2 linked regions of the Neodiprion lecontei genome follow. The protein of the gene in region 1 interacts with the protein of each later gene in a biochemical or structural test. Links are inferred from orthologs where the notes say so. Each region holds a gene or a part of one and is shown in the gene's direction. Other genes may lie near its edges.

Region 1 (4,880 bases):
TGTATAAAGCAGATAATTATAAAAATAATAAGTTTCTATTTTTCTTGCAATTGAACAAAAATTGAAGCAAACACATATGTTGAAAACCAAAAAAAATATATGACCACACCTACGCTAAGGTATTTCTATATATTACGAACTCAATAAAGTTCAGGTGCATGTAACGATCGCAATTGTCTTTTGGTAACGCTAATGAAAAATTGGAACTAATTATTGTAGATTTCTCTACTTTATACACATATAAGAATTGGAAATTATTTTCGATGCACACAGCCCAGGGCCGATACGCACAGGGAAAACCTAGAAACCAGGGTACTTGGGGGAATCCTGGATTCGAAAAAGCGTATCAATCCTGAAAGACCCGAATTAGTTCTGTGCGGAGTTTTAAATGTTTTCTCAACTTTATGGTTTTAGCTAAATATAGAAAACACAAAAGTTTTACGTGTTATTGTATTTTAGTCGACTATAACCATATATAAGTCTTTGCGCTGCTCTCATCCACAAGGTCCTATGAACACCTTACGAGCGAAAAAAAAATGTTGAATTTTAACATATTTCAGTGAAAAGAGGCCGTCGAGCCCCCCAATTTCTCATTTAGATGAAGTACAATGTATTTCTAAGTATGCTTTATTCACGAAATTATAACGAACATTTACACAGCTATAGAAGCTGAATGAAAGTTTCAAATTCGATATACAAAAAAAAAAAGAAACATTTTTAGTGTAATAAGGTAGAGTTTCTTATGCTCGTAAGCTAAATTATTCGAAAGGCTGATGAGAAGTGTTAATACCCCATTTACATACCCTTTATGCAAACGCAAGAGAAGAACCATACCTTTTATATTGTTATTAATTTTTTAAACGCAGCGATAGGTCTCCCGATCCCCCTTAGCAATGATCTGCTTAATCTAATCAAGGGCTCTGTAGAAACAATAATACATCTAGGTACATATTCAGTAATTATTATCCCTTTACAGAAAAAGTTTGTCTTTGTTCTTACTGCGTTGATTATGAATCAAGGTGCTAGAACACTGAGTTATACAATTTTTACACTAAAAAAAAAACATGAAAATGTAAAGAAAAAAGAAAAAAACGAGAATTAACAATACGATAGTACTTCACGTGCGAGCATTGCACCGACGCGACGTTCAGTCTATAATTATTATAAATAACAGATATTTTATCTATGGAAAAATAACTGTACAATCTTTGTTTACTGAGTTTGTTTGATTATTTTTTTTTCCTTTTTTTTTTCTACCAGGCAATGGTTTCCAGCAGTATTAAAATATGAAAATGTGAAATTTTGTGTAAATCATTGAATATGATATACATATACATGGGTATTGTATATCGATAGATAGAATTCGTTGGTGCAAGGATATATGGAAAGTACTGTACTTGCTAAAAGAAAAAAAAAAAAAAAAATAGAGATTGTTTAAATAAAATTCGTATCTTACAGAAAAAAAGAAATTTTTGTTTCTCTTACGCGATATTTCCTACACCTATACGCGTAACATATTATCTCTGTTCTTTACAAGCTTTTAAAATTGTGTACTTCAGACTTGCTGAATAACCATCACCTAAGTGATTATCATTGACCAGGTTAGATACTCCCATAGACTTATACCGATAGTCTGCGCGGTCTGTTCACTGATTGTGAGCTGAATTCGTAATTAGAAAGAGATAGCAATAGCTGGAGCCGGATATCTCACTCTAATCTGATTGCGAAACTTGGCGGGGGGGAGGGTATAAATTCGTACGCATGTACCTCCCTCCCCCCCCCCCCCCCCGCCGATCTTTCTATCATGCAACAGAGAGATCCGGTTCCAGCTGAGCTCTCTCTCTGTCTAATTACGGCTTCAGCTCGGTGAACAGTGGTGAACAGATCGCGCAGTCAATCCTCTATAAGTGTATGGATATTCCTAAATACGTAAATATCCGTTAACGAAATAAGTTACACGGATATTTCTAAAAGACTTTTGAGTGACAGATATTAGCATTTAATTACCCATCAATTTATGAACGAAATATAGATAACTTGGTGACAATACTCAATCATCTTCGGAAATCTCAGGTACGGCAAATGTGTTTATAACAGATTTGCAGTAATTTGAAATCAGGAAAACAGTTATTAAACGCCTTTGAAATCGTGATCTGAAATCATTCTAAATGATTCGAAATTATGTAAAATTATAAGGTCGAATTTAATAATCTCATTCGTAATGTCAGTGCCGGATTTATAGTTGTGGAAACCCTAGGGCAACAAAGAAGTGGGAGGCCCCTAATTATTTTTCAAACAAGATGGGAAAATTTCATTTTTATAGTGTAGCAATAATTTATTGTGAGACATATGCAATGATGTCAACTAACACATGTCGATATTGTAAAATACAAAAAATGAGCCACATTAAATTACATCGTTAGGCGAATGGAATTTTGCGAGCTTTTTTCGACGCAAAGTCATCAATGATATCGGTAAAATCCCGGAGAAAATCACTTTCAATGCTGAGTACGGATAACTTTGACAAACGGCTTTGTCTCATAGTAGTTCGTAACCTACTTTTTATAATTTTCATTTTGGAAAATGAGCGCTCTCCAGTGCAGTTCGACACCATCAACACAAGATACATTCTCAATGTAATTTCAATGTTTGGGAATGTAGCTCTAAATTTTTTTTTTTGTCAGAAGAGTAATTTTACATACCATTTGCTAGGAAATTTTACCAAAAATTGTGTCGGCCCTGGTTGCCCCCCTCTAAACCCGGAACTGCGTAATTTTATTGCTATTTTGTAACTTGAAACCGTCGGTCATGCGGTAAACCGTAACTTGCGGGAAAAACGAAATTTCTATACTGATCTTTCCCTATAGAGTCGTTGCAAAAGCATAAATGATTCTTTTTTCATATCCCTGGTGATAATGATTTTTACGATTTTCTACAAATTTTTGTGGAAAGTTGGGACATTGCGTACAAAATTGTGTATAAGCATACTTTCTCATAAAAATTTGTAGATTTTTGTGAAAATTTGAATTTTTTCAGTAAAAAATCGATACGCCACCACGATTTCTAAAGAAAATTGACAATTTTTCACGAAAAACTATGCATATTTACAATTTTGTACGAAATAATACGGAATGGCCCAATTCCTGCCAAAAAAATCGTAGTAGTAATAATTTTCACCAGGGAAGTTTCGCTATGTTTCCGCTGTGAAATTGAACTTTGTGCACGATCGGTAGAAAATATTTAAAACTGCATTTTACAACTTTATTGTAAATAATTGGTGGGGCGGTTGGGTCATAAATCTCGTAAAATCAGACTAACAGTAAATCAGGTTGAAAGTTTCTGGAATCATTTGGCATCGCTTTTACGCCTTGACGTTCGAGCGAATTGAAACCCCTGACTTTTGAACTGTATGATCCGCGAATGTTGTCGAGGCGCATGAGTCATTAATTTTATTAATTTACCCAACACTTTTGTCAGAGCTTTCGCATGTCGTTCATTACAAAATCTACAACCCGTTTGAGGTTTTTTCAAGAATTTCCTTCCATCGAGTTTAAAGGATATGATGACTCAATAACTCCATTTTAATTATTGTTTTATTTATGTATTTACTGTATATATGATATTTCCACTAATTAACAAAACGTACTTCGCAGCATATTTTGGCTACATTGCGTCCACTTGCCACTAGATAGGATTCAGAGATCGTCTTATACCATCTTTTATTTTCGTACGTGGAAACAATTATGCATATGTATACGTGACAAACACGTATCCTTCGTTTCAACAAATAGCATGAAATTCGTCGTTAAATTACAATGCCTTGGGGAAAATCCGCACAATTCATATCCGACAAGTTCTGTTCAACGGAATAATAGAAACCCATTTTGCGCAGTGTTTGTTCCGTACGTTGATCCAAGAACCGAGTCTTGATTTCGCGGTAGCGACTCGGGTAATTGTCGCCACTCATCATCGAAGTCGGAATTTTCAGTGCCGAAGAGAATATGTCGGTGTCGCAGTGTGTTTACTTTGCGTGCGAGAATGCAGCATAGTCGGGCGGTCGACTCCATCGCTCTTGGGGAGTAAGTAGGGGAACAAAAGCGGTCAGACGATAGACAGTCGGCGTTCGAGTTTATTTCGTCTGTCGTTGACGTGGGAAAAAGTGGCAAAAAGATGTCGTTTGAAGAGGGATTAATGATGTGTTTCGACGGTACAACAGGCGCCGAGAGTTTAGACTGGGATGATTCTGACGACAGGTGGGTTCCGTCAAACAGCCGAGTAATAATTCACGCGACTATTAGACCTTCATTATAAATAGAACTGGAAAAATGTAGCAATTCACACATCGAGAATTTCTGTGTTTACTTAGCAGCATACTTGATGGTCAACTAGCCTCTTGCGCTGAGTACGTCGCGCTTAGCTTATCATCTACCTTCGTATTCAGCTGATGTCGCCTAACCTAACAGTACTTGCAGTAAATTCATCTCTCGAAGTATTTTTTGACGGATAAACTCCGCCAAATATTCAAACTACACTTTACTTGTGTGCTTATGTTTACACGGTACGTTTCAAGTACGATTGTCACTTGAAAAGTACGCCAAGTTCAAACAAACAATTGAACTATGGTGTAACAGCGTCGCAAGTCGGCGGGTAATGATAATGCTGTTTTATATTTTTACACCGTGTTGATATGTGAATATCTATGTTGTATCGTCGGATTTTTCAAGATTAAAATAACAGGAATTGAGTGTTTTGATTTGATATAAAATGTTTTAATTTACGAGTTTTAAGCCTATAGACTGAAACAAGTTTTGGACATATGACTGAAAAAATTGGAAATTTTATTTTGCTGAACTTGTAGCAAAAATTCTTGTAGTCTGTTT
Region 2 (7,128 bases), on another chromosome or scaffold:
AGTTGGTAAATTGTCTGCATAAAATGAAGGCATGTTTAAACTATAATTATGCAGAGGCCTTTTTATCTCTTCGGTACATATAAATTCATAGATAATTTATACTACCAAAATTAGAAAGAAAAAATTGCGATCATGATTATTTTAAAAAATCATTCATTTTTCGGAGTTGTCCACAAGTTTTTTTTTTACTGTCAATTCTATCGAGACACAGAATTTCAATAGACTGCCTTATTTGCATTCATATAAACATTGTGAATTTTTTCAACTCTTATATTGATGAGATGGATAAAAAATTAACACACAACCTTAGAAACTCATCATGGAAAACTGAACTTGTCTCATTGTTTCTAGCTGCTTTAATCGGCGCATGTGCTAGGTGTTCGGCCTCTTCAGTTCCTTTGAGAGCAGCTTGCTGCTCCTTCTTATAAACCGGTCTAACATAGTATGGCGGATAAACGCTGTAGTCATTTTTCTTGATGTTGATTTCGCTCCATCTATAATAAGTAAAAATGGTAAACTGGAGTTGGAAATATTTAAAAACATTTGAAGTGTATTAGAATTCTTTGAATAAAGTGAATCTAAAAAATGATATTTTTAATTCCTCATGTTCTCCAGCTTTTTAAAAACGTACACTTCATTTTTTTCTAAATAATGTTTTACAATCAGTTAAATTCATTGATACAAAACGACAAAATTTGATTTGCATTCCGATAATACCACACGATCAAAAAAATAATAGAATGCGCTTGATAACTGGTCCTTGAATGTTATAAGACATCGAAGAATATTTATGAAAAAGATTTTCAATTCCCATTTCAAGAACAAGACTGCTCCTTCTAAGCCAGCATTAAAGTTCTAATATTTATTTGAATAATGTGAAGCCAAGTCTGAAAATCAAAATTTTGTAAAATACCTTAAACCTCCAGTACGTTTGAAAAAGAGAAATATGAGGATAAAACTGAACTGCTTTTTTTTATTTCCAAAAAGTTTAACAGATTTGTGTGCTAACTTTGGTTACTAGCTTCAGCTTCATATATCGAGGAGAATTTCTTTCGTCAACATTGAATTACAACTCTTCAAAATAAATATCAAACTTTTTTCTCACATCCCGGTGCTTTTGAGGTTATGCGATTAATGACAAGAATGAAGATGATTCTGTAGACTTATAAGACTTATAGTAAAAATGGACATGGAAAAAATCCATAGAATATATACAACCGAAAAATTATACCCAAATTGACAAGACGCACCTGTTTATTGATAATAAAGACCGAACGGTAGCAGCCGCGAATTGTCTGCTGTGAAACATTTTAAGTGCGGCCATTTTCGTTGGCTTACTGTTGGTACACTTATTCACAATAATTCTGAAACTGCTAATCTTTTGGACAAGTTGGTTATATTGGTAATGCAGAATGAACCCGCAGCAACACCGCCGGTAAAGTGTAAACTGTCAACCTAGCTACCATAGCATATGATATATATTCGTCATGTTAGGTGTCCACAGCGCCTTGATAGTGGCCGGGAGCCAAAACTTTGAAAAGGGCTGAAACTCGATTCAAATTTGATTGAAACGTGAGATAAATAATTGACGTGTTCCAACATGGAAAATACTATTATTTATGAATTCAGCCTTACAATCCGGTAAAATACAATTACTTATTCGTATTTTACGAGATGCGTCCATAATTATAGTACGTCAATCATTTATTTTACGATTCAATCGAATTTGAATCAAAGTATTAGCCCTTTTCAAAGTTTTGTGTCGCGGCCACCTAACATGACATAATGACAAATTCTGTTTTCCAGCCTCTCTAGATTGCCAACGTAACAGACTTGTCCGAAAAATTAGCCATCTCGGAATTACTGTGGGCAAGTGTACGGGGTGTCTCAGCCAATGGGAGGCCAACTGGTGTTTGATCGTACGATTGGTATGAACCAGCACAACTTACGGTATAGAAAAGTAAGTAGTAGTGGTTTCGAGGAACCAGCCTGGGAGCAATCGCGTTGACGAGAAAAAGAAGGAAGAAAAGAAAGGAGGAAAACAGAGGAGTGAAATGAAAATAAACGATACGTGTTAACAAATAAAACGTTGAAATCGTTATTCGTTGATAAAATAGATAGTGGTAGAGAGGGAGTGAGAGAGAGAGGAAAAAAAACGACACGTTAAATAACCCCCCAAATGATTCGTACATTGAAAACAACGTTCGCCGTTAGATTGATAAGTTCGTGTGAAAAGGTCTCCTAAACCCTTTGTATCGAAGGAGAGCCTTGACAAGTGGTGGTGTTGGATTAATTTCGTATCTGTGTTTATATCGAAGATACGGCGGAGAAACGAATTTTCCGCACCCAAACGGGACGTTAAAAACACCACATTATCAAAATGGCAGAGAATCAAGGAAACTCTTCGCATCAAATAAACCAAGGTTCGTCCTTCCTTCGCTCGTTCATTGACTCGTTATACGTGTTGCCCATCGCTTTCTTCATCTTCACCGCATCTATTACCACGGAAAATTGTCTTCCAAATCCGTTCTCTACTCGTTCTATGCCCCGTCCTCGTGTCGTTGCAAATGCAGGTAGTCGTCAGTCACATCGTTAGTCGTCTGTTTCGACTAACCCGTAACAATCGGTCTAACCGATATTTCATTCAACCCAGTTGTTATTTATCGTCTGCAGAAACGTCGCTTGCTCGTTAACCGCCTTCGTTTGCATGTTTTATACGATTTACGACGAATCTACCTACGTTGTTGCCTACGGATTGTCTTATCAGCGGGATCCGCGATCCCCAACAAACATGCACCTATCCCCTGCCTTCTTACCTCTCTTTCTCGCATCCGTCTGTCTTTGACGCGTTTTGACATTTCCCCGCAATCGAAAAAGTAGCGTATTAATGAACACGCACATTTTATAATTCAACTTTGTGACGTCTTTAATGATATACGGTAATAGTCAGTGTTGTTGTTATTATCGTCGTTAGTTTAACATAGACAAATGTCTGCGGTTAGCAACGTTAACCACACTGAGTTCTACCTCAGACATAACGTCCGTGAATAATTTTTATTAACAACAATTGTTTTCTTAAGTCTATCTAACATTTCAGGAACCGGCAGAAACTTCTTTCCACGTTTGGATTTTCTGTCCAATAGCGATATTCAGAATGAAGTGTCAGGTACCTGATTAGATTTCACTCCATCAATAATTAATTCAGCTGATGGATCAATGGATCAAGTACCTGATTTATCCATAACAAGAGATGAGAGGAAAATTGAAAAAATGTAGCAAGTTATTGCGATGTAAAATTTAATACTCGAATGTGGTGTGAATGTGGTGGATCAGTAACGGCATATGACAATATATTTTGAAATCTCCCTACTTACGTACAAGACTTTCATCATTTGATGTTAATTGAAGGAGTGCGTTTCTCAGTTTTAGGATTTTTAAAATCTTTATCTTATCTTTGGCATTCTTTGTGTTAATAACTGGCAGAGTTTGTATTCGTGTCTCTTATCAACTTGGGTTCTTGTTTCATTCATCCTTTGAATTGATTTGTTATTGTCATTAAGCATATTTTCGCATTACCTTAATTTATTTGTTTGTTGAATTCAACAGAGAAAAGACAGGCGTTGAAGATGAATCTGGGATCTGGTAGCCTAACCTTTTCAAATTCCACAAACTCGACCCACTCCAATTCCACCAGTATGTCATCATGCCCACCATTGCCGTAAGTAAACAACGGTCTCACAAAACAATAACACTTTTTCCTTCTTCAATTTAATGTGGAATAATGTGTAAAAATATTCCTTACCAACTCCAAGAGCTGTTCTTCCGAATCATATTCTGCCAAGCAAATTGTATATTCTAAATAAATATTAGTACAATCGTGTATGGAGAGAATAAATTTTTGGTTCGGGAACATTTACAAGGAATTTCGAGGTATTAGGTTTAACGAACGTAGTAATGTATAAGTACCCCAATTTTACGATCAACCGGATTTCCACCAACAACGAAATTCTTTAGAAAGGCATGAGAAACTGAGTTCTAAATGACATTACTATGAATAATAGGTCGTCTCGCCCTAGCTTGCCCTTACCTCTGCCAAAGTTGCCGATTAGGCCTCGGCCAGCGGCGCAACAAGAATTTCTCCCAGATAAAGCAAGGTAATAAGCTTGAATGCGAGATGATTATATATTATACTGAATTAAGTAACGACGATGTTCATACTGCAGTAATTCTGTGCATATGAGGTATTATTCCAGGGAGAAATTACGGATGTGTCAATCAATGCAGAGCACGGGAAAACTTCAGTTATCTCCTGACACGATATATGATTTTACCAGCGAGGATTTACAAGACTTGGGAGAGATCGGGCGCGGAGGATTTGGCACTGTAAATAAGATGATACATAGGATAAGCAATACCGTCATGGCTGTGAAGGTGAGAAGAATAATTTCCCTTTGACCAGAGGTTTCGTAATTATGTAAAAACAATTTTCGTCACGAATCATAATTAATTAAATAATAAAAGTATTTCTACAAAAATTTTCGTAAATACTCTTCAACGTAGAACATTCGAGTCTTATTAATGATGATATATATTTATGTGTTCCACCATAACTTACCTTGATTTTCAATGAAAAATCCTTTCCAATAATAGTTCAGACCAAAACATATTGCGCAAACTCATCACGATTCCTTATGAATGCAACTTTTTTATTTTCCATTATATAGAGGATTCGCTCAACAGTGGATGAAAGAGAACAGAAACAACTTTTAATGGATTTGGAAGTTGTTATGAAATCCAACGAGTGTCCCTGCATCGTGCAATTTTATGGAGCTTTATTTAAAGAGGTGAATAATTTTTCGTTTCACATATTCACATGTAGAATTTTTGCTAATAGAAAATTTCGCAACCATCAAGTAGAAAAAAAACGGTATTCTAGCCCTTCATCCAACATTTTGAGTTGGTCGAGTTGTATAATACCTGCATCTTGAAATTATATCTTTGACCTCATTTTGTTGTAACATTTGTAACCAAAGTGATGCTACAACGGTTCCTCTTCTTTTCTTGCACAGGGAGACTGTTGGATTTGTATGGAACTGATGGACACGTCTTTAGACAAATTCTACAAATTTATATATGAGAGATTAAACGAGAGGATACCTGAAAGTATACTGGGAAAAATCACAGTAGCTACAGTTAAGGCATTAAATTATCTTAAGGAGAAGCTCAAAATTATTCACCGTGATGTTAAGCCAAGCAACATACTTCTCGACCGTCGCGGTAACATCAAGCTGTGCGATTTTGGCATTTCTGGACAACTGGTCGATTCAATTGCCCGAACACGAGACGCCGGATGCAGGCCTTATATGGCTGTGAGTAATAACTAAAGAAATACTAACTTTGATCCAAGTACAAATGTAAGTTCAAAGCATTTTCGCAAACGATCGATTTTACCGTAATTGTAATCAGCAGAGATATTAATCTAAAATCAATGGAAGTACTAGACTAAAAAAAGTGTGAAATTTCATTGAGTTTATTATCTACTTTTTTCAATTTTGCCACGTAATGAGAAAGAAAAATTTTACAGCCCGAAAGGATAGATCCCCAACGAGCAAGAGGATATGACGTCAGGAGTGACGTATGGTCTTTGGGCATAACGCTGATGGAAGTAGCGACTGGGTATTTTCCATATCCAAAATGGAATTCGGTATTCGAACAACTATATCAGGTGGTACAAGGAGACCCGCCGCGTTTGTCACCCAACGAGAATGGAAATCGTTTCACAATGGATTTTGTCAATTTCGTAAACACATGGTAATGACTGAAACGCGAGTTCTTCAATCGAATTAAGAATTAGCTGAATCTTTGCGATCATGAAGGATGTTGGGTTGGAGATAGATTCTAAATTGTTTTACCGTTTTTGCTTGCAGTTTGATCAAGGAAGAGACGCAGCGTCCAAAATACAACAAACTTTTGGAACATCCGTTCATAAGGAAAGGTGAAGAAGCGAAAATAGACGTGGCCGCGTACGTCAGCGGAGTGTTGGACAGTATGGCTAACAATGGAGTGACGCCGTTCACCACAAATCAGCCTTAAGAAAAAAAAATTGTATGAAAAGAAATGCATTCCATGGACCTCCTCCGTAAAAGTAACGTAGAAGATGTACTATGTTCCCCTTGGAATATAATTTTATTACGGAAAGGCCCCTCCTGATAAAGGACTTTTGAAACAAGGATACTCCGTAGCGAGTAGGAGGTAATGAACGACATTCAATTGTATCTAATATGTAGAGAAAGAAAAAAAAAGAGGAAAACAATCGCGGAGATAATTCATATAATAGAAAATAATTTCCTACGAATCTTGAGAGAAACAAACAGAAAAATGAACTGTCGCAAAACACAGCTGTGGCGTACCTCTTACATAAAGTAAAAATAAACATATATTAGATATCATCTCCAGAACGATCCGTAGTTCTTGTAATATTACGAATTTCAATCACCGAAAAAGAAGACGAGAAAAACGTAAAAAAAAACGGAGAGTAAAAACTAAATAGTAAAAAAAAAAGAAATACACGAAAAGAAAATTGTTGTGAATTGTATATATTGTTTAATGTTTTAATTCCATGTTTTATATATGCATATGACTTGGAAATAGTTCGCCAAAACAGTACAAAGTACCTAATTGCTCGTTCTGGCGATTTTATTAGGAACAAGCTTATACCAACGTTAAAATACTGTACTGTAAGAATAATAAATAATGAATGATGATAATAATAATAATTGATTCAGAACTACACACGAGTTGAATAATTACATGGATAATACATTCCTAAATTTCGAAAAGTACTATCACCTTCACACGTCACGCACTAGAAACTGGAATATTTCTATATTAAATATTAGCGAACTAAGTACCAGTTTTCGAACACGAACTTGTTTTTAATTTCAGTTTCTAACCTAAAACACCATCCACACAATCGGATTTTGATTTTTAAATGAAACATTAAAATCCTATATGAGCTTTCTAAACATTTCAAAAATGTACCTGCAAACCACAGATATTTATCGCTAGGTTTTTGTTTTCAAAAATCAAATCGATACTTCTCATTTACTGTGTAAAAATCAACAGCTC

The links. The genes of interacting proteins can lie anywhere in the genome.
Region 2: the proteins of mitogen-activated protein kinase kinase kinase 4 (region 1) and dual specificity mitogen-activated protein kinase kinase 4 form a complex in vitro, tested with the Homo sapiens proteins (2 studies listed by BioGRID, with this or other methods). The link is inferred for Neodiprion lecontei from reciprocal best matches to the Homo sapiens genes MAP3K4 and MAP2K4.

Annotation. Positions count from the first base shown.
Region 1 is NC_060262.1:27,712,386-27,717,265, reverse strand, and holds the start of mitogen-activated protein kinase kinase kinase 4, read left to right. Parts: upstream 1-1,856; 5' UTR 1,857-4,170; coding exon 4,171-4,253; intron 4,254-4,875; exon of another isoform or gene 4,876-4,880. UniProt on the Homo sapiens protein: Component of a protein kinase signal transduction cascade. Activates the CSBP2, P38 and JNK MAPK pathways, but not the ERK pathway. Specifically phosphorylates and activates MAP2K4 and MAP2K6.
Region 2 is NC_060264.1:28,643,408-28,650,535, reverse strand, and holds dual specificity mitogen-activated protein kinase kinase 4, read left to right. Parts: upstream 1-1,952; 5' UTR 1,953-2,380; coding exon 2,381-2,423; intron 2,424-2,914; exon of another isoform or gene 2,915-2,929; coding exon of another isoform or gene 2,930-2,939; intron 2,940-3,097; coding exon 3,098-3,166; intron 3,167-3,606; coding exon 3,607-3,718; intron 3,719-4,061; coding exon 4,062-4,154; intron 4,155-4,223; coding exon 4,224-4,431; intron 4,432-4,724; coding exon 4,725-4,844; intron 4,845-5,069; coding exon 5,070-5,369; intron 5,370-5,584; coding exon 5,585-5,811; intron 5,812-5,927; coding exon 5,928-6,093; 3' UTR 6,094-6,590; downstream 6,591-7,128. Other genes in the region: 28S ribosomal protein S7, mitochondrial, read right to left, coding at 1-14, 306-494, 1,251-1,324. UniProt on the Homo sapiens protein: Dual specificity protein kinase which acts as an essential component of the MAP kinase signal transduction pathway. Essential component of the stress-activated protein kinase/c-Jun N-terminal kinase (SAP/JNK) signaling pathway.